Linked DNA regions of Notamacropus eugenii. The protein of the gene in region 1 purifies or fractionates together with the protein of each later gene. This does not show direct contact. Links are inferred from orthologs where the notes say so. Each region holds a gene or a part of one and is shown in the gene's direction. Other genes may lie near its edges.

Evidence for each region.
Region 2: the proteins of HNRNPA1 (region 1) and FAM120A purify together in Homo sapiens (affinity purification with mass spectrometry; 4 studies listed by BioGRID and IntAct, counting the BioPlex papers as one, with this or other methods). This does not show direct contact. The link is inferred for Notamacropus eugenii from reciprocal best matches to the Homo sapiens genes HNRNPA1 and FAM120A.
Region 3: the proteins of HNRNPA1 (region 1) and DDX17 purify together in Homo sapiens (affinity purification with mass spectrometry; 4 studies listed by BioGRID, with this or other methods). This does not show direct contact. The link is inferred for Notamacropus eugenii from reciprocal best matches to the Homo sapiens genes HNRNPA1 and DDX17.

What each region holds. Positions count from the first base shown.
Region 1 is NC_092874.1:227,403,240-227,410,948, forward strand, and holds the start of HNRNPA1 (heterogeneous nuclear ribonucleoprotein A1), read left to right. Parts: upstream 1-4,692; 5' UTR 4,693-4,860; coding exon 4,861-4,875; intron 4,876-5,496; coding exon 5,497-5,613; intron 5,614-5,841; coding exon 5,842-5,988; intron 5,989-6,116; coding exon 6,117-6,327; intron 6,328-6,429; coding exon 6,430-6,522; intron 6,523-6,612; coding exon 6,613-6,705; intron 6,706-7,129; coding exon 7,130-7,204; intron 7,205-7,471; coding exon 7,472-7,630; intron 7,631-7,709. UniProt on the Homo sapiens protein: Involved in the packaging of pre-mRNA into hnRNP particles, transport of poly(A) mRNA from the nucleus to the cytoplasm and modulation of splice site selection.
Region 2 is NC_092874.1:422,041,411-422,048,961, forward strand, and holds the start of FAM120A (constitutive coactivator of PPAR-gamma-like protein 1), read left to right. Parts: upstream 1-4,533; 5' UTR 4,534-4,618; coding exon 4,619-5,092; intron 5,093-7,551. UniProt on the Homo sapiens protein: Component of the oxidative stress-induced survival signaling. May regulate the activation of SRC family protein kinases. May act as a scaffolding protein enabling SRC family protein kinases to phosphorylate and activate PI3-kinase.
Region 3 is NC_092874.1:295,927,119-295,934,276, reverse strand, and holds the start of DDX17 (probable ATP-dependent RNA helicase DDX17), read left to right. Parts: upstream 1-4,140; 5' UTR 4,141-4,412; coding exon 4,413-4,462; intron 4,463-7,158. UniProt on the Homo sapiens protein: As an RNA helicase, unwinds RNA and alters RNA structures through ATP binding and hydrolysis.

The sequences.
Region 1 (7,709 bases):
TATAGCTTTTCACAGGATGGCAAATCAGGTCATCCTTTCATTCATTTTCCTAACCTCCTGAGACAAGCTATAAGTTTTAGCCGTTATCCTGCTCTCTAGTTTCCCCAAAACAGATCTTGATCTTTAACAGTCTTCAAGATAAATGGCCTGTTTTTTTAAGGTGAGTTCAATGCTCAATACAGTTAATAGAATCTCTACCAGCTTATTCCTCAATCTGGATTTTTCAATGGCAGAAAAAGAAAATTGAATATTACATGACTAGGTCAAATGAGAATTTCTTTGGCACAAAGAGCACCTCCGCTGCTTCACTTCAGGGCTGACCAAGTTAGCAATAATAGATGTAAAATAAAAAGTCCCCACTTGCATAATGGCAGGGAGTTAACAGGATAAAATTTACCAGAACATTTACTTAACACCTTGGACTAGAAGTCAATTCATATTAAATTTACAAATTCTATCCATAAACACGGTAGACTATTCCATGAGGAATAAATGGAGTGGAAGGGGGGAAGGAAGATTGGATACAAGTTAAAAGAATTTCCTAAAAAATACAAGTCAGTCATTCCCCAATTGATAAATGGTGAAAGGATATGAACAGGCAGTTTTTCAAAGAAATCAAAGCAATATATAGTCATATTAAAATGCTCTAAATCATTACTGTTTAGAGAAATACGAATTAAAACTCTGAGATATCATTTCACACCTATCAGATTAGCTAAAATGACAGAAGGGGAAAATGACAAATGTTGGAGGGGATATAAAAAAATTGGAAATTTAGTACACTATTGGTGGAACTGTGAACTAATCCAACCATTTTACAAAGCACTCCGGGATTATACTCAAAGAATTATAAAACTGTGTATACCCTTTGTCCTAGCAATACCACTACTAGATCTGTTTTCCAAGGTGATCAGGGTAAAAGGAAAAGAACCTACGTTCTAAAATATTTAAAGCAGTTCTCTTTGTAGTGGCAGGGATAAATTGCAGGGATGCCCATCAATTGGAGAGTGGCTGAACAAGTTGATATAGGATTTGTGATGGAATATTACTGTGTTATAACAAATGATGAGCATGTTGATTTTAGAAAAACATGGACAAACTTGCATAAAATAAGAGAGCAAAATGAGCAGAACCAAGAAAATGTTGTGTACAGTAACAGCAATATTGTTTGAGGAATAACTATGAACTACTAAGTTATTCTGAATATTATACTCAAATCAATTACAAAGAACCTATGAAGGAAGATGCTATCCATCTCTAGAGAAAAAACTGATAAATAGAAGTGTATATATATATATATATATATATATATATATATGTATATAGTGTAAGGTTTTACATACATGCATATATGCCTACGTGTGTGTATGTACACATACATATATAGAGAGTGTGTGTATATACATACACACACACACACATCAGTCTCAAATGGTGGCCTTCTCTAAGTTCAGGATGAGGAGAGAGGGTAAAAGGGAGACAGTTTAGAACTTAATATGTAACGAAAAAATTTTTTTTAAAAAGAGGAAAATTCTCAACAAAACAAACTAAATCAAGAACTGTTGCTTACTTTAGCTGTACAACCAAGAACTTCTGGGGTTGAACCTGAAGCTGTTCAGCCTCCCAATCCTTACTCACTTAATCTGTCATTCAAACTGCCATGTTCACACATTTCATATTTAACAGGCTGCAAAGGTGAATCCTCACAGACAAAGAAGACACCTTTTCCCAAAGATGGTAAATCAGCTGTCCATTCTTGACTGGAAGAGGGAGTGATTTGGGGACCTAGTTTCCAAAGAAAAAGTGTGAACAAACCACTTAATTAAAATGGCTTGTTAAGAGGTCCAACCTAGCTGAAAATAAAAGAAATAATGAAATAAAGTCCACTTTGAACAAAAGCACATTCACACTCATTTTAAGCATTCAACGTCTGTGAACACAATACAAATGTATAGCAATTAACAGGTCACAGGTTAGTAACAATAATAAAAATTTTAATGAATTTTTGTTTTTATTCAACCATACATGGAAAACACAAAAAATACACTTTTCTTGGAAAATGTGAAGCCTATAGATCTGATTTATCAGATCTTTAAATAAAGAGTCCACACACTTGTTAATCTGGTTTTCAAATACTACTATCATATGGCATATCTCTTTCTCCCTATGTTTAATCTCCAGTTTATATGAAAGGCAGATAAAGGTTCACATGAGATTCTCATCAAATGTGGTATTAAATCAAATTATTCATTTCCCTCCTACCTTTAAAACAAATGATATAATGATTAATTTTAACTCATCTCACATCACACCTTGTGGTCAAATACTGAGATTGTGACTAGTTAGATCACTTTCAGATACATCCTGTTATTGTGGATAGAGAGATAGTCTTGAAGTTAAGAAAATATGGGTTCAAGTCTAGTTTCTGACACATATATCCTGGTTGAGTGTTCCCCGGCAAGTCACTTAAACTATCCCAGGAATTCTGACACTTTAAGGAGTTTGATTTCCTTACTCTGTGCTTCCCTAAACCAAGGAAATTACAGGGCCTCCTCAGAAGATTTCATCTTTTGCATAGATCACAGAAAATGGAAATGAGCAGGAAAGCAAATTTTGAGTTTTTATTTACCAAATGTCTTTTTAAAATTTTATTTCTTTTGTGTACAAAGTCAGAGGGGACTATATAATAAAATTTCCTAAATTATGCTACTTCCAAAGAAGCTCAATTATTAACCCTTACTGAACTAGTCTGGAACAAAGCATCTGATGACATTTCTTTCATTCACGAACATGTGAATAGGTAAGTGTGGATCTGGAATCACCTCAATTCCTCAAGGATTCATCCTGGTTATTGAAAGGCTTCTGGATTCCCCAAGGCATGGCTACTTGGGAAGTTTCCTCATTTTACAAGTGAGGTAGTTTCAGATGACCAGATGACTAGATAGAGAGAGGTCTGAAATTTCCTTCATTGCAAAAGAAAAGGGGTGAAATGGGGAAGGTGTGTGTGTGTATATTTGTGCCTTAAAAAGCAAGTTCCAGACAAATATCTATGTTATGTTAAAAAATAAGGCTCCAAATATGTGGTCTTGGTGTACATGTGTGTTAAGAAGCAAGGTTCCAAAGAAATTTGTAGTCTTGGAGTGTATGTACGTGTTACAAAGAAAGGTTCCAGACAAACATGTGGTCTTGGATGAGGGTGTTATGTGCTAAAAAGCAAGATTCCAGAAAAATTATGTAGTCTTGCAGTGTAAGTATGTGTTACAAGGCAAGGTTGCAAACATGTGGTCTTGGGGTGAGTGTGCCTATAGGGTACAAAGCAAGGTTGTAGACAAACATGTGGTCTTAGTCTTTCCCTGGCCTGCACTGAACCCTAAGAGGAAAAAGGGCCGAAGAAAAGGCAAGCACTGATGATCAATCAGGCTTACAAGCCTCAGAACAGGACCACAGATGGGACTGGGCAAGCCCACAGACCTCCGTGAAAAACAAGTCATCCCCTAGGGATCCCCACCCCCAAAAGGCAATCCTCCTTCCTCGGAACCCCAAATCTAAACCCACCCCCCGCCAGAGCGCTGATTGGGCCGTCTCCCCGCGCGCTTTCCTTGGTTTGACCTCCCATTGGCTATTCGCCTGGTCCATCTATCTGAAAGACCCAGCCCTCATCTCTCACATTGGGCTCAGACCCTTGTCTCTCTGGCGAGCCCAACCTCCCCGCGCACTTCTCTCCAATTTGCTTAGAGCGTCCCAGCTCAGGAAAGAACCCGCCTCCCGCCTTCCTGTGGCCCAAGGATCGATGTCAGTTACTAAGAACCACCAAATGGAGTCTCAATTGGTCTACGGTCTTGTCAATCTTATTCATCCATTGGGTTCCCTCCTATACAGCCATTGGACGAGAGGACAGGCCATCAGGACAATTACACCCGCCTCCTGTTCGCCTATTGGTTGATCAACCCTGTCGCTCTTCCTCCGCCCCCCCCCACCCCAGCGGTCCATTCATTTCACACAATAACGGGCCCGATTGGAATTGCTCCAAGGACCTAGAAGTGTAGACATGGTTGTTTTCCACTTACCCGGGACTGAGAGCGTTCTCTCACCCTAACCTTGTCCCCGTTCCTCTGCGAAGAGGCCGGACCACAAGGAACCACCGCCGCCTTCTGCGCAACGCCAACCGCCCGCCAAAACGGATCCGCCGCTGCGCTTGCGCACGCGATCCAACGAAGGACCCTTCCTCCGCCCACTGCGCATGCGCATAAAGGGACAAGACTCCCGCCACTGCGCAGGTGTATTACATAGGTCCGTTCTTCCCCGCCATTACACGTTGTACAAATAGCCGTCAGGTCTTTTTACTGCGCTTGCGTTAATTGGCTGTGGCACTACGCATGCGCTCTCAGAGAATAGAAGCCCAAGAAGTAATTGTTAGTCATTTATTATTTTTTTAATTTTTCACGTTTAATAGTGTTTTCCTCCCTAAATATAGCGTAATATTTTAAACAATTAAAAATTAAAGTTACCTAAAAAAAACTGGTTACCTTCAAACAAGAGTGACTGGCAGGAGAGCCAATCAGGCGCTTTAAAAAAAAAAAGAACTTCTCAGAAGCCAATCAGCAGCTTCCTCGGGGCGGAATTTACGCAACGCATTACGCTACGCAAAGATGCGCTACCATAGACCAATCGGTAGCTAGAATGATTGGAGCTATCCAATGGTTGACAAGGAGGGGAGGAGTCTACCAATGCAGAACGCGAGGAGGCGGGATTAAAAAGCGGGTACGAAGGTGGGGAGACAGAAACGCTAGTTAGCTATCTCCTTTCTGTTCTCGACACCGTTGGAGAAGGATCGCTGAAGCTTTTGCTACCGCTCTCACCATGTCGAAGTCAGAGGTAAGGGAGTCGCAGCCCAACGATTGTGCTATCTCGTTCTTCTCTGTTCTGTTCCCCGTATCCTCTTACGGTGCTTAGCCCAATACGCCTCTAATACGACCTTTATCCGTGAGTTCTGTAGCCTGCTGTCGCTGTGGCCTGCTCCTTCCACACCCCCCCCTCCTAGGTCGCCATTTTGTAGGCCCGGCCGCCATGAGCCTTTAGCCCTCGCGGTCCTCGAGTTACAGGCTCTTCGAGTGCCACCGGCCCAAACCCTTTGTCTCGTTTGGCCTTATCTCCCCTTGATTTGGGGCTGGTTTCGATTGCCTGACGACCAGGTTTTTTTTTTTTTCGTTTGTATTCGCGGTCATCCACCCTCTCTTTGTTGCGCATGCGTTGTTTTTTTGCCCCCTTTCTTTACCCACCCGTACCCGGGCTTCTGACAGGCGGGCCTGGGCGCTAGTGTAAACCTCGGGCCCACTCTTTGTCCCCTGCTGGGGGGGGGGGGGGCGCGTGTACTTTAAAGCGCAGCGCCTCTTTCAGCCAGGGTCCCGCGCCGATTCCCCCCCCCCCCCCCTCCCGACCACCAGCCATGACTTAAAGACCCTTCCCTTTTCCAATTCTTTGAATCGTGTCGTCCAGTCCCCCAAGGAGCCCGAGCAGCTTCGGAAGCTCTTCATCGGAGGCCTGAGCTTTGAGACGACGGACGAGAGCCTAAGGAGCCATTTTGAGCAATGGGGCACGCTTACAGACTGCGTGGTGAGTGCTGAGGCCCGGGAAGTGGCTGTACATCCTGAGAAAAATTCACACGTGGGGGTGGGGGGTATCTTTAAAATGTGCTTTTGTTGGAAATAACTTCCTCTTAAATTGGTTAGTGCAAGAAGCTCAGTGGCCCATCATCTGCTTTTGTACTTGCAAGAGACTTTTGTGCCTTTTATTGCCTTTACTGCTTACTAACATGTTGTCTCTGCTCCCTTAATGTCTCAGGTGATGAGGGATCCAAATACCAAACGTTCCAGGGGCTTTGGTTTTGTTACCTATGCCACAGTGGAAGAGGTAGATGCAGCCATGAATGCTAGACCTCACAAAGTTGATGGCAGAGTTGTTGAACCAAAGAGAGCTGTATCTAGAGAGGTATGTTCCTTCATCTTTTTGGAAGTAACGATTTATAATACAGGTTGGGTTAGTCCTTTAAGGCTTCTGCGACCTCGAGATTGTGAGTTTCCTAGCCATTTCCACCGATTGTTTTTCGTCTTGTCTAGGACTCTCAAAGGCCAGGAGCCCACTTAACTGTGAAAAAGATCTTTGTGGGTGGCATTAAGGAAGACACTGAGGAGCATCACTTACGAGACTATTTTGAACAGTATGGAAAAATTGAAGTAATTGAAATCATGACTGACCGAGGCAGTGGCAAAAAAAGAGGCTTTGCTTTTGTTACTTTTGATGACCATGATTCTGTGGATAAGATTGTCAGTGAGTATCACAAATGGTATTGGAAGTAACCAAGCTTTGTAAATCTTCTTTGTTGAGATTTACCGGCAGTTAGGTGTTTCTAATTGGAGATTTTTTTCCTAGTTCAAAAATACCATACTGTGAATGGCCACAACTGTGAAGTAAGGAAAGCTTTGTCTAAGCAAGAAATGGCCAGCGCTTCATCTAGTCAGAGAGGTAAGTTTTCTATACCACTGGTTTGGTTGCCATCTTGTGCTTATTGTCTCCAGTTTTTTAAGGGTGGTCTTTTTGTGTGTGTGCGCGTAGGTCGAAGTGGTTCTGGGAACTTTGGTGGTGGCCGAGGGGGTGGCTTCGGTGGAAATGACAACTTTGGCCGTGGTGGGAACTTCAGTGGTCGTGGTATGTATTTTCACAGTAAGCAAGCAGCAGTACTTTTAATTTTGTTTGGGCCTTCTGTTAAAGCTTTTAGGTATTCATGTGGAAAAGAGAAACTTTGCTGCTTCCTCTCCAGTCTAGTGACCATCCTTACTATTTCTTTCTGGACTTTTGTCAGGACTTTGCTGCCTGTTTGGTAGCATTCCTCTGATTTATTACCATTTTGGACTGTTGGCTTCAGGCAGATAGTTTGGTCACCAGTGGTTTGGATATGGTGTTATTCTTGATTTGGTACCTAAGTTGGTTATAGTAAAGGTAACTTGGCTGGATGAGGATGACTAGGTTTTTGTTTTGTTTTGTTTTCTTTCGTTTTTTTGTTGGGTTTTTTTTTTTTTTATTTAGGTTTGATAGCTGATGCCCAACTGAATGCCTTTTTTTTTTCTTCCAGGTGGTTTTGGCGGCAGTCGTGGTGGTGGAGGATATGGTGGAAGTGGAGATGGCTACAATGGATTTGGAAATGATGGTATGTGCTAAAATCTTACTTAGAATATAATTATATCAAGTTGGGTAAATAAAAGGATTCTTGGCCCTTCCTCTCCCCCATTAGAACAGGCCTAGTTTTGCTTTTTTTGTTGTCTTTCTTTTGTTTTTTAAGTGCTGCATGTGTTGAGCTTGACCTGATTGTCCCAACATAACATGCATGCTGTGTATTGGCCTTGAGCCTTTAAGCTTGCATGTATTTTTTGACTGTCAAATTTGTCTTACTGAGAAGAATTGTATTCTTCTGTAGGTGGTTATGGAGGAGGCGGCCCTGGTTACTCTGGAGGAAACAGAGGCTATGGAAGTGGTGGACAGGGTTATGGAAACCAGGGCAGTGGCTATGGCGGGAGTGGCAGCTATGACAGCTATAACAACGGAGGAGGCGGAGGCGGCTTTGGCGGTGGTAGTGGTAGGTATCAAGTGAACCCAAACAAGTATTATGGTGTGGTAGTCTAGATTAGTATTGTAGTTTTTCAAAAAAAAATCTT
Region 2 (7,551 bases), about 190 Mb from region 1:
CAACAACCTACTACTATTGCTACTTATTTTAAGAAAATTACATTGCTCTGTATGGTCACAAACTTCAGAGTAAACTCCAGTACCTTTCCTTCTTCCTAGAACACTCATCTTCTCCTGTCCATGATCATACATGTCTTGTGGGAAATGAAGTCCTTATTCTCTTCTAAGAAGCATTCATATTTGGGGAGTAGGCATCTTGGGAAATAGAATCCTTTCACACCTCAGTTATGCCTGTCAAATGCGACTTGGCTGCTGAAAAAACTAGCTTAACTTTAAGGCAAGTTAATAGAAGGACAATGTGCCAAACATGGAAAATAAAAGTATTCTGTCCTGGCCAGCCTAAATTTTAAGTATTGTGTTTGGTTTTTAATGCTACAGTATAGAAAAGGCATTGATAAACTAGAGAAGGGTGAAGTGCACCAATTTCTGTGTGGATACATGAATGAAAAAGCTTACTGTCTGCTAAGTGTTGGGACCACCAATCAAAAACAAGATAGACCCTTCTCTCACATTCTAATTGGAAGCCACATATATAGGAGGTCTTATAGGCATATCAGATAGGAAAGTTCTATGACTTTTAGGGTATGGTGGCAAAGCTGATGTTAAAAGTCTTTAATGTCATGTCCACTGATAAAACCATCTCTAGCTTTGTTGTTGAACCATTTGACAGTACTAAGGGACTTTGGTGGGAAGAATGTTCTTTTCTGGGTCTTCAATAGCTATGCCTCCTGTTAAGGAGACAGAAGCTGTAGCACCTATAGGAACAGGATAGGTCACGACTCCATGAAGAAGACACTGATATTTCCATGGTTCTTGGACTTACCTGCCTATTCCTGGCAATTACACAGGCTGCTCCCCTTGAACATAACTATGAGAGGCTAAGCTGGAAACACTGCTGGTGGTCTGAGTGGGTGGGAGGAGTCCCCACTATTATCTGGATTCACAACTCTGGGCTTTCTCTGTTAGACCCTTAGGGGAGGTGATAGCTGACACCACAGCAGTGATTGGCTTCCCTGGCATGTGCTGCTCCTGTTTTTTCTTCAGGGTACCTGACTACTTCACCTAAACTGGCATGCCAGGTCAGCTGGTGGCAGTTGGTGGGATAGCTGGCTCCTTGTCCACAAGTGTTGCTTCCTTGGTTGATGGCCACAAAGGCAGTGCTTGGAGAAGTCTGGAGGGAGAGGAGTCACTATTCCTGAGGCTTTGGAACTAACTAGTGCACATCAGTAGCAGTTGGTCAGCAGTTGGTATTGGTGGTGGAGTGTATGATGGGTCCCTTCTCTGACTCCCTTTCACAACAGCTTAGGAAACCTGGGTAGAAGCCACTCAGGGGGTCTGGGAGGCACTGCTAATCCCAATGCTCTTACAGATCAGGGACCTGGGCTATCTCAATTGGCATCTGAAGGGCAATAGTCATTGAAATGGAGACAACGGTTGGGTTTGTTGTTTGAAGTGTTACCTACAATTTTTCTTTTTTTAAAAAATAATTTATTTTTAGTTTTCAACATTCATTTCCATAAGATTTTGAGTTTTAAATTCTCTCCCCTTCCCTCTCCTCTGCCCTCCCCAAGACGGTGTGCAATCTGATACAGGTTCTACTCACACATTCATATTAGGCATATTTTCACGTTATGTGACATGAAGAAGAAACAAAACAACAAAAGAAAACAACAAATAGCATGCTTCCATCTGCATGCAGACTCCAAAGTTCTTTCTCTGGATGTGGATAGCATTTTCCATCATGAGTCTTGGAGTTGTCTTAGACGCTTACACTAATGAGAAGAGCCAGATCCATCAAAGTCAGTCATCGCACAATGTGGCCATTACTGTGTCCAGTGTTCTCCTAGTTCTGCTCATTTTACTCAGCATCAGTTTGTAGGGGTCTTTTCAGGTCTTTCTGAAGTCTACCTATTCATCATTTCTTATAGCATAACAGTACTCTATTACATTCATATACCACCACTCGTTCAGTCATTCCCCAACTGATGAGCATCCCCTCAGTTTCTAATTCTTTGCCACCACAAAAAAGCTGCTATAAATATTTTTGTACATGTGGGTCCTTTCCCCTTTTTATAATCTCTTTGGGATACAGACTTAGTCGTGGCATTGCTGGGTCAAAGGGTATGCAGTTTTATAGCCCTGTGGGCATATTTCCAAATGGCTCTCCCAAATGGCTGGATCAGCTCCCAGGTCCACCAACAATGCATTAGTGTTCCAATTTTCCCACATATTTTTCAACATTTATTATTTTCCTGTTTTGTCACGTTAGATAATCTGACAGGTGCTTCCACTTTTTCTCTGGGTACCTCGTTGCTCTCCCTACCTACTCCCATGAACGTATATAGACACACACACATGCATACACACATAACACTGTCTCACAGTCTCTAATGCAGAATGCACTAAGGCATCCCACAACTACACACTACATGACATGAGAGCAGAAGCTGTCTTATCTAAACTTTTTAAACAAATCTTCCTAACATCTGGAAGTGTTTTTCAGGTAGCGGCCTTACACCTTCTGGATTTTAAGGCGCTTACTGTCCTACATGTCTGCCTTTACTTTTCTGCTAGAAAGGGCATGGTTTCAGGGAAGGAGCACTAGACTTAATGACTGGTTTCTGGCTCCATAAGACGCTCAGTTTGGCTACTCATCAAATAGGGAGCATGGATGCGTCTGTGGGTGCCACTGCCACGCACCGTTGCTTGTGTTCACACGTGGCCGTGAGTGGCGGGCTTCCAGCCCCCCCCACAAAACCTGAAGTGATGAAGAACTACTGGGACAGGTGTGACAAGAGCCTTCCGACACCAACACCGCACAGGCCCAATTCCCAAACTCTAGAGCAGGACTCCCATAGTCCTCTGGGGCTGCCTTATCCTGACCGCACTGCTGGTGCCTCTTCCCTGAGAGCTCTAATGCTGGCAAAATGTGGCCTTGGCAAGATGCCCACCACAATCCTCCTTTTCCTTCGTTTGTTTGCTGGTCAAAGTTGCAACAGCTCATAATTTTCGGGGGGAAAAGAGTGGGAATTCGGTGAGGGGCCTCCCTTGTGCCTGGCACGCTGTCGGCGGACGCCCTCGAGGCCGCCGGGGGTCTCCGGGGTGGCCCTGGCCGTCCCCCCACCCCCAGGTCTAAGGTGAGGAGGGGGGAGGCCAGCGGGGTTAGGGCGGGCGAGCGGCCCAGCAGGAATCAGCATCCCCAGCGGCCGCCGTGGAGAGGAGCGCGCAGCCCCGCGCACGTAGCAGCCCCAAGGCCGAATCTCTCCGCCGTCCGCTCCCAGGCAGAACCACAGCTTCTAGCGGGCCCTCCCGCCCTTCCTTCCACGCACCTCGCACGGACGCACGCCCCCTCCCCCAACCTCGCCCTTCCCCTTCACCCTTGACCCAGGCTTTCGGCCTGTGCTCTCTCCCCACCCCCCGCCTTTCAACAGCCCCTCCCCTTCCCTCCGCCCATGGCGCATGCTCCATGATGCAACCGGCCCCAGCTCCCAGGCCTCAGGCCTTACGGCCTCCTGGAGGCCCGCTAACGGCGGCGGAGGGAGGGGACAGTTCGCTTGGAGTCCCAGCCCAGTTTGTCTCCTTCCCTCCTCCCACCCCGTCCGTCCATCCACTGGGAACTGGGGGGATGGGGTGTGACCGTGGCGGGGCTGGTGGGGGCGGGTGGTGCCTGCCCGTCCGTTCTGACTTGGGCTGAGGAGCGGGCCTCATCGGGCTTCGCTGGGCCCGCTCGGGCCTGTCCTCACTTCCCCCTCCCTCAGCCTCGCTCCCACTCCAGCCCAGGCACCGCCTCTTCCGCCGGCCCCTGCAGGGTCTCCTTCCCGTGCGGCGGCGGGCTGTACGTCAGCGCTCCCCCGCTCGCCCGCCACACACTCCCCTCCTCCTCCTCTCCTTTCCTCCTCCTCCTCCTCTCCTCCTCCTCCGCCCTCGCCCCCTCCCTCCCTCAGGCAGCAGCAGCAGCAGCAGCAGCAGCAGCAGCAGCAGCCCCAGCAGCAGCAGCAGCGGGAGGAGCAGCAGCCCCGGCAGCAGCAGCACCAGCAGCAGCAGCGGCGGCGGCGGCAGATCCCTCCCCAGCCATGGCCCTGTGAGGCAGCAGCACATGGCGGCCGCAGCAGCCATGAGCGCCCCCCCGACTCATACAACTCCCCCCTAGACACCGCCGCCTGCCCGGCTCAGCCCCCGACGACCCAGCAGCCACCCACCCGGCCCAGCCCGCCCGCCCACCAGCCAACCGCCTCCAGCCGCCGCCGCCGCCGCCAAGGAAACCTCCGGCTCCTCACTCATCCTCCCCCGCCCCATTTACCAGCCGCCGCCGCCGCCGCCGCCACCACCGGAGACCGAAGGGGGGAGCTCCCGGGGAGGGAGGGAGGGAGGGAAGGAAGGGGACGGACACCAGCCCGCCCGCCAGTCCAGCCGAGCCGCCGCCGCCGCCGCTGCCGCCCGCCGGGCTGAGGGAGAGGAGCGGGCGAGGGGAGGGGGAAGGGCAGCCTCCGCCAGGGACCTCCGCCCGCCGCCGCCGCCGCCGGCCGGCCTGCCCACTTCACCTCATCGCCGCCGCCGCCGCCGCCGCCGCCGCTCCCGCTCCCGCTCCTCCTCCCGCGCCGCCGCCGCCGCCGCCGCCATGGGAGTCCAGGGCTTCCAGGATTACATCGAGAAACACTGCCCGAGCGCCGTGGTCCCGGTGGAGCTGCAGAAGCTGGCCCGGGGCAGCCTGGTGGGCGGCGGCCGCCAGCGGCCCCCCCAGACCCCGCTGCGCCTCCTCATCGACGCCGACAACTGCCTGCACCGTCTCTACGGCGGCTTCTACACGGACTGGGTGAGCGGCGGCCAGTGGAACCACATGCTGGGCTACCTGGCGGCCCTGGCCAAGGCCTGCTTCAACGGCAACATCGAGCTCTTCGTCTTCTTCAACGGGGCCCTGGAGAAGGCCCGGCTGCACGAGTGGGTGAAGCGCCAGGGCAACGAGCGCCAGACGGCCCAGCAGATCGTCAGCCACGTCCAGAACAAGGGCACCCCGCCGCCCAAGGTCTGGTTCCTGCCGCCCGTCTGCATGGCCCACTGCATCCGACTGGCCCTCATCCGCTTCCACATCAAGGTAAGGGTGGGGGGCCCCTTCCCTGCCCCCACGCCCGCCCCTCCCCCACGCCTGGCACCGCCGCCCCCCTCCGGCTGGGCTCCGAGCACCCTGGCATCACAGCGCCCCCTCCTCTCCTCGGGCATCTGTACACCATTGGCTGGCTTCGCCTCTCCCTTGCCGAGCTCCCCCTTGTTCCTTGGCATCCGAGCGCCCCCTCTCATCTCCCCTGGCATCGGCCCCCCCCCCGCCCTGGCCATGGCATCGACGTTGGCTCAGTGGCACCCACCCAGGCCGAGAGGGAACCCCCTGCCCCCGGAACGGGAGATGGATTTAATTGGCCCGAACGCCCGGGGCGGGGAGGACTGTTGGGGGTGGTCTCTCGGGCGCCCTGGAGTTGAGCTGTTGGGGTTCGGGAAATCGCACCCCTTGCCCTCCTTCCCGGATCCGCAAAATGTCGTCCCAAATTGGCGGTGCTGGGGGCGGGGAGAGGAGACCGTGGCCGGGAGACGGAAAGTTTGCAGCGCTGGGCCTCGGGGGAGGTTGGGGGGGCCGTGAGCGGGGCCCCCTGGGAAGTGGGAGCCCTGGGCTGAGCGGGCGCCTCCTGCAGCGAGTCCTGGAGCGCCCGGGCCTCCCGGGCCCCCTCCCTCCTTGGGGGGCCTTTTCTGGGGGGTTGTGCCTTCTCGCTCCAACTTTGTTCCCCCTTGATGATGAGAGTGAATTTTCCCTCAGACTTTTGCCCCCAGGGTTTGGGGAGGTGTGCGGGGGCTTCCGAGCGGAATGGGGGGCATTTCGGGGACATCTATTGGGATCAATCTCTCCTCCCCGCCCCCCCGTCCCACTTTTTCGTCTTGAACCTTTATCTACGAGGGTCGAGTTCGGTAGTAGTTACTTTCTCAAACAGCAACAGGTTCTGCGATGGAGAACAAGATCATTTAAGCATAGCTTCCCGGAGCCGAAGAATAAAAACTAAATTTATACTAAATAGTGTTAAAAGGATTTTAATCCGTACGTGGCTCACTAAGTTGACCGAAAAAGTTAATTGTAGAACTCTGGTTGCTTCAGATCTCAGAACCATATTGCTGGTTTAACTTTTTTTCCCTTAAAAATAATCCAGCTTTGATGCTCAGACTTATTTTGTCCAATTTTTGCAAGTTGTAAACCATTGGATAACCTTTAGAGTTAGTTCTGCCCTTTGGGGGCATCCATGTAAGAGCTTGCAGGTGAAACTAGCAAGTTTCTTGTGTGCTCGATGGGAAAGGCCGGCGTGACGCCGAGTGTGGAAGCCGGAGACCCCGGGAAAGCGTGAAAAGTTCGCGTGAATGTGCGGGCTCCTGCCTTCTCGCCGGGTGAATGCTCAGCGACCTTCGGGCGGTGCGGGGATCGGTGCGGGGATCGGAGGAGGGCTTAGCCCGCCCGGCTTTGTGCTGCCTCCTCGCCCGAGGGGCCGGGCCGGGGCTCCCAGGGTGTGTGTCCCAAAGTTTCGCTTTTGGTGTGGGGGGTTCAAGTGGAGATGAACCCCATGTGCGTGTTTCATCCTAGGAGCTCCTCCTTCCAGCACCGCCGGCCCGGTGGCGGCTCCTTTATTTTGGCACGAAAGCGAGCTGGAAGTTTGAGGGGGTTTTCACTGCTCGGATAACTGCCTCCTGAAATGTAAGGAGAATTCAGACCCAAATGATGGCGGAAGTCCCACCTCCGTCCTGGTGCTATTGGTGAAAATGGGTTTTGAGTCTGTGGGTCGATGGATCCTGAGAAGCGATTGGCCCGGGGGAATAGGAAACGTGCAGTGTGTCCCTGGCTTCGCGGGGTGCTGTGCGGGGCGGGTGGGGGCCGCCCGGGAGCCGGGGCGGGGGGGCGGGGGTCCGGGGGGCCGCCCGGGAGCCGGGGCGGGGGTCCGGGGGGCCGCCCGGGAGCCGGGGCGGGGGGGCGGGGGTCCAGGGGGGCCGCCCGGGAGCCGGGGCGGGGGTCCGGGGGGCCGCCCGGGAGCCGGGGCGGGGGGGCGGGGGTCCGGGGGGCCGCCCGGGAGCCGGGGCGGGGGGGCGGGGGTCCGGGGGGCCGCCCGGGAGCCGGGGCGGGGGGGCGGGGGTCCGGGGGGCCGTGGCCTCCCCCCGCCAGGGGCTGGTTCTGAGCCGGTTGTCACTGCCGTGTTGCTTGGGAGGCGGGCAGCCCGTGGCAGCTTTTACTTTGAGAATCAAGTCCTGTCCTCCCTCGCCGAAGCCCTGGAGGTTTTCCTGGAGCCCGTCGGAGCAGCGTGACCCGGTCTGTTACCGCCGAACCGAACCGGGAAGGTGTCCGTGCGCCTTTCTGACCCCCGCTGCCCAGCGCGCAGTCTGGTTCCGGCTGGACGGACGCACTTAATTGTGGAATGATTGTTAAATCGTGTTCCATTCAGAAGTGATTTTTGAAAAGGAAGACTTACTTTTTCACGTGGATCCCCGAATACAAATACTATGAAGAAATGCTATTGATAGATTGAAACA
Region 3 (7,158 bases), about 69 Mb from region 1:
TGGTAGCATGGATGGTCAGTTAGTGTGGTGAGATTATATTTAAACAGGGAGAGGGATGATAAGCAGAAGAAGTCAACAAGGAAGGCATAAGACCTTCCCAGGAGGGCCAGGGATCCAGTCTTATTTAAAATGTGAATTTCCTTTAATCCAGCAAATATTCGTTATGCTCATATGTGAAGTGAGAGGAACCATGGCTTGGTGCTCAGAGTGCCAGCCTTAGAGTCAAGAAGTCCTATATTCAAAGCCTGCTTCCAACACATCTTGGTGAGACACAACTCCTAGGCTACCCTAGAAGACTGTAAACTACAAAGGGTTCTCCAGCTATACTATCAGAGGAAGTTTCTGAGGGATGAAATTGCAGATCCCTTCTCTCCTCCTCACCCCACCACGAAATGTTCTAGGTGCTGGGTTAGTCCTGGGGATTCAAAATAAAGTATTCCTGGCTCTCATCCTACCCAGAAAAGTAAATAAATGCAATTGGAGTGAGGAAAAAGGACCAATCATGTCATAGGAACTAGATCTAGAGCTGTAAGAGACATCAGACCTAGTTTTACAGAGTAGGAAACTGAGGCCCAGAGAGGTCATCACTTGGGTAGTGGAATTTTAACCCAGCTCCTCTGAATCTGTAGCCAGTGGTCTTTTCACTGTGCCTTGCTTCTTCCTGAGGTGATCAGGAAAGGTTTCCCATAAGTAGTGGCAGTAGAATTAAGCCTTGAAGAAACTAGGGTTTCAGAGAAACATAGAAGTAAGGAGAAAGCCTTCCAAATAAGCCAGATAGCCTGAGCAAAGGTACAGTGCTCTCTGTCTTAGAAAGAAATGGTATTCCCCAGGAGATCAATGGTCAGAGGAGATGACCAGGCAGAGTGTTGGGTGGCTTTTTTTTTTTTTTGGTAATTAAGTCATTTTATTTTTTTTCAAATTACATGTAAAGACAATTTTTTACAAGATTTTGAGTTCCAAATTTTTCTCCTTCCTTCCCTCCTCTCTGATATAGGTTATACATATGCAGTCACGTAAAACATATTTCCCCATTAGTCATGTTGTGAAAGAAAAAACAGAACAAAAGGGAAAAACCATGAAAAAAACAAAGAAACTGAAAATAGTATACATTCAGACTGTCAGTTCTTTCTCTGGATGTAGACAGCATTTTTCTGTCATGAGTCCTTGTAAATGTCTTAGATCACTGTGTCACTGAGGAAATCACCACTAAGTCAATCGTGGTTGATTATTGCACAATGTTGCTGTTACCGTGTACACTGTTACGGTTTTGCTCACTTCACTCAGGATCAGACCATGTAAATAAATCTTTCCAGGTTTTCCTGAAATCTAGACCAGGCAGTTTTCAAAAGAAGAAATTCAAGGTATCAACAGCCAGATGGAAAAATGCTTCAAATCACATGCAAGTTGAAACAGCTGTAGATTCTAGCTCAGACTGGCAAAGATGGCCTCAAAAAGGAAAATGACAATTTTGGGAGGGCCAGGTACACCAGTGGACTGTTGATAGGAGCTGTGAATTGCTCCAGCTATTCTTAAAAGCAGCTTGGAATTATACCCCCAAAATCACTTATGTGTGTGTCTCTTGAACTAGTCATATATCTTGCAAGAGGTCCAAGACAGAGGAGAAGGCCCCATATGTACACAATTTTTTATTAGCCAGTACTTTTTATTGTCAGAAAGACTGTAAACAAAGTGAGTGCCCATCAATTGGGAAAATGCTGAACAGATTGTGGTACATGAATGTAATGGGATGTAATGTACTATAAGAAATGAGAAAAGGGACAGATTGAGAGAAATTTGGGATGATGATGCAGAGAGGAGCCAAAACAATTTACACTACAGCCACACTGTAATGACAAATAACTGGGGAAGGACTTCAGAATGCTGCTCCATCCAAACTCCTGGAAGACGGAGGATGAAGTCTGTTTCCCATGTCTGGGAAGAGGTTAGATGGAGGAGGATCCAGGAGACATATACCTTCGGATGCGGCCAGGGAGTGATTTTGCTTTGCATAAATCAACTATGCTTTTTTATAATAAGGGAGGCCTTTTTTTGGGTGTGGGGGGGGGGTGCTGAAAATAAATGAGGAAGGAGTGATACTAATGTCCAAAAAAGAAAAAGAAAAGTGTCAGTGAAATATTTTAAAATACACAGAAGGGGAATCAGACAAGCAGGCCAGTGTTGAAACTGCCATATTTAACTAAACGCATACTTTAAAAAGCCAAGCTGTCCATAATAGAGCTTTGTGGTTTCCTACACAATCTTTTTTTCTCCACAAATAGAAATGTTTGTGTTTTCCCTGATGTTTGCTAAGCTTAGGATTAAAAATAAATTATTTTAAAAAAGCAATTAAGGACAGTGACCCCCAGGAACTGGAATTACAATTGGAATTAGCTGAATGGAGTTAAATAGGGAGGTCTAGAAGACATTGAGTGATTGATGCTGGCCCTTAAAAAGTGCCTGGTGAATTCATTAAGGAGAAAAGATTAAAGTCTTGACGGAATATTATCGTGGGAAGACAGCATGAGTCCGGGCTGGGGAAGGTATTGTCTCATGCAGGAAGGAGCCCAAAGCGACATAGGGGAAGAAGGCTGTGGGACTGGAGGGGGAGGGGTAGAGCTCCCCACACAAGTAGTAAGAGAAGCCCTGGGAGCTGAAGGGCTGAGATCCCGATACCTCATGGGTCTGTCCTGGGGATCAGATGAGGCAGAGGATGCCAGTGCTTCGCACATCCAGGCCAAGTCCTAGTGTTATCCAAAGGGAACTAGCCAGGAATCATCTGAGATGGTGAACATTATGCCAAATCTAAGTTCTCCATTTTTAGATGAGGGAATTGAGTCCTAGAGAAGTGACTTGGCCAAGGTCACCGGCTCATTTCTGGCAGAGGCCTCCTGCCTTGGACCTCACTCTCCATCAGGGATGGACTGGGGCCAGCAGGTCCTGCGCAGCTCGCTTTCCAGCCTGCCCACCTCCTTCCCAGCGTCTGCTAGCCTAAGGACTGACACTTTGTAGCAATCTTGGTGCGCCGTCAGCGCGGAGCCCTGGGCTTAGAGTCTGGAAGACCTGAGTTCAAATCCGACCCCAGACGCCAGGTAGCCGTGTGACCCTGGGCAAGTCACCTACCCTGTTTCCTCCTCTTCAAAATGAATTGAAGGAAACGACCAACCACTCCAAAGGCGTCCCTGAAAGTGGGGTCCAACTGGAGGGAGAATGAGCCTGCGGCCCGAGCCGGGGAGGTCCGGGCTCAGATCCTGCCGTGGGTCTCGAGGCCAGTCACTTTCCCTCGGTTTCTTCTGGGGTAAAAAGAGGGAAGTCACGAAGCATTTATGAAGCCCCTACTGGTAACCAAGCTCTTGGTTCGCTAAAGACACCAAACCTCCCCCCCCTTCCCCCGCCTGCCGTCTAAGGAGGGGCGCACCAGGGAACCCAATCCAGTGCCAGTTCAGGGACAGGCTTGGACCGGAGAACCGGCTTTCAGCGGCCAGCTCGTTGTGCATTTATTAAGCGCCTGCAGTGTGCCTGCTAGCCCGAGCGCTAGATAATTACTGGGCACCTCGAAAAGAGGCGGGGGGTGGGGGGGAGGTCCGGTGCGCAGGCGCACCGCGAGTTAGGGGGAGGGGCGGGCCCTGCGGACAGCGGCGGGGGGAAGGGCGGGGACGGCGGCGCTCCAAAGCCCGCAACATGGAGGACGTTATTGTCGTCGCGGCGACGCCGCCGCAGTGGAGGCCGGAACCCGGTATTCTCCACCTCCGCTACACTACGTAGAGGGCGCAGTGCCGCGGTCGCGGGCGGGCGGCGGGCTGCGGACGCCAGGAATGTTACGTAGCGACCCGGCCGCTCCCCGCCCCTCCCCCTCTCCCCCGCCCCTCCCCCGCCCCAGCTTACGCCACGTCGTCGCCCCGGCCGCGCGCCAGCTCTACGCGCGCTGCGTAGCTCGGGGGCGCCCTGGCGGGCGGCGGGTGGCGGCCGCCTGCGCAGTCGGCGTGGCGCGCGTTCGGGAATGGCGCCGGGGCCCTCTGCTGGGGGCGCGCGGGGCGGGGGGAGGGGCGCGCTATCCGGAGCGGCTTACGTGCCGCCTGGGCCGTGCGTAGCGCTGGAGACGGCGCGGCGGCCGCCATTTTGTGGAGCCGCGCCGCTGAGGGAGGAAGGAGCCGCCGCAGCCGCCGCCGCCGCCGCAGCGCGCCCGCCTTCTCCCAGCCCCGCGCCCGTCTCCGACGCGACCGCAGGCGACGGTGGCGACGCCGACGACGGCAGACGTCGCCGAGGAGCGAGCGCTTCCGAACCCCGGGCCCGCCTCGGCCTCGTCCGCCGCCGCCTCCGCCGGGCCCCTCCGCGCGGCCTGCGCCCCCGCCGCCGCCTCGCTGCTCCTCAGGCCCCCGCCCGGCCGCGCCCCGCTGCCCGACCCCGGCGCCACCATGCGAGGAGGCGGCTTCGGAGACCGCGACCGGGACCGGGACCGCGGAGGGTGAGGCGGGGAAACCGAGGCAGGGGGAGGGGGCGGGCCGACTGGGCTGGACCCCGAGGCGCGGAGGGGGGGGGGTCACCATGGAGGCCGCGGGCACCCCCGGAGGAGGAGACTGAGGCAGGACCGGCGCGGGAAACGGCCCTTATTTATTCAGGGGGCGGCCGGGGCGACTTGGCCCCGGGTCCAGATGGGGAAACCGAGGCGCGGAGAGGAACCTAGGCCTTGGAGCTGGGAGGGTGTGGACCTTGTTCGGAGCCTTGTAGAGGCGGGGAAAGGAGGCGAGAACCCTGCCGGAGGTGGCGGAGGCTGCCCCCTCCTCCCCCCGGCCCCGGGGAGCGCTTTCCCGTCCGCAGAGGGCCCGCAGAAATACCGCAGGAGAGGAAGGTCGGGGAGGGCCCAGCCCGCGGCGCTCCTCTCCCTCCGCTCCCAATCCTGTTAGGTGGGGGGAGGGGCCAGGAACCAGGCCCGGAAAAGTTCCCCGTGGAGCTGAGCAGGACCTGGCCCCGAGGCTCGAGTGCCAAGATCCTCACGATCTCGGGCTCCAAGGGGCCGTTGGTGGTGAAGGGAAGAAAGGAATCCCCCATCAGATACAGAAATAGGATTTTTTAAAAACCCTTTTAAAACAAAGATTACAGAAAAAAACTACTGTGCTCCAGAGGATGGTGGGGAAATAAAGAGGGATATTTGGAATCAAATTGAGGAGGAAATGGAAGGTCCGTAGGGGCCAGGAATATTGTGGTTTTAGGTTTAACACCTGGGGGGCACTTAATGCTTAAAGAAAGACTAGCATTTTCCCTTGTTGCCTCTGTTTGTTGCCTTAGCTTCTTGTGGCATCTCCAGCTAAGGGTGTCTAGTATCTAGCTTTTTGGGTTCAGAGTTCTTTATGTGTTAAAGTCGTTTGGCAGGTTAATAATCCTTTAATTTGTATAGTGCTGCATTTCTCTTGATCCTTAGAGGGGATCTTGGAAGCCAACAGCTTCCAGCCAGGTCAAAGGACTTTCCCTAGATCACATGACTCATTGACTGGCCCTGGCCTGGAAGGTAGCCAGGTATACTGATTGCCCACTCTTACTCTTGACTTTTCTCTTCTGATGGAGATCTAGTGGGCATTAAGTAAAACATTTGTTCATTGCATTGAGGATTCCACCAGTGCAGAGTAATGTCGATTTTCTATCTTAAGAAGATTCAAAGAAACATGGTGCTGCCATTTTGGAATATGCACTCCTACTTGTAGACTCTTTAATTGTAGCATTTTAACTGAAGAAGGTGCTTTGGGGGCCCATTTAAGAGAATACAGAAGGTATTTAGCCAGTTGCTGCCTCTTTGACAGGTCTTAAATCAGGTATGAAGGGTAATGGTCTTGGTTTTTTTTAAAAGACTCAAGGCCCATTCTCCTACTGGATCCTTAATATGGTCAGTTGAGCTTTCTCATTGTAAGTTCAGATTTTGGGAAGGTGAATTTTAAATTTGAGTTATTATACAAACTACTTAATTCTAAGCTTTCAAAATGTTAAATGGTGGTATAAAATCTTTTGGGAGTGGGGTCTGGAGAAATTTAAACTAAAAACCAATAGATCAGGTCTGCAGCATATTGAAATATATAGTAATAGGATCATGTCTGATTTTGCCTCTCAATGTCACTTTAGCTTGTTGAAGAGCCAAATGGTTTGAATTTGCCTATTCTCTATACAAATACCAGATACATATATTTCATGATAATGTACCTTAAGGTGTAACTATCAGGAGAAGATAGCAGCTTCTGATTCTTGTTTCATTACTTAGCGCTATTCCTGAATGCCTCCATAAATTTCAAATGACAGAACAGTTGCCTTAGTACAAATAAAGTGGTGCCATTTTAGGTGCCTGTAAAGACCTTTTCATTCCTTTCTCAATTATCCCAACTTATTTTTGCCCAGATAACTAAATTGTTAAACGATATACACAGGAATGGGTATGGTTAAGTAAGTGATGGCTGTTTTTGTGATATAGTGCAAAGTTCTGGCCAGCAGCTTCTCAGCATCCTTTTAATACGTACCAGAAATTTTATAAAATTACATAAATATTTAGCATCCAAAAATAACTGGTAAGAAGTTGGATATTACCGATCCCCCAAATTGTACTCTTGCAAAGCCCACTTGAACGGTTATTTTTTTTAAAGATGGAATAGATCATACAAATCCATATGTGGGCAACCTTTTTGGCTTAGCTTTCATTGATATAAATGTGTTTGAAAGAGTTGAATAGCCTTCAATTGATAATGGTTTCATCCAGAAACTTTCTGATATAACAGGACAGATTATAATTAGTTAATTGCTAATTAGTAAAATTTAAATCATTAAAGAGAGTTGTTGGGCTTATTAAACACATTATTATGAAAGCAAATACATAAAGTGTCAGACAATTTTTTTAAACCCCATCACCACCCATCTTTAGTGCAAAATAATAAAATAATTTTGTATTAATAGCAAGAGCAAAGGTCTGACATTCTTAAGAAAATAGGTGCATCATTTTATTTGTTAGTTTAAAAAAAAATGGAGCAGTGCTGTTAGAACTAAACCAGAAATGGATAGCTGGGAGATTTAATCCAACCCAAACGCAGGCCTTTGCTTCCTTGTTTGGAGAAGAACCTGTTAGCTTTGCCTCTGTAGTCTTGGTGGTGTAGGCTAGAGAAGATGCCGTTGAAATGACTGTTTGAG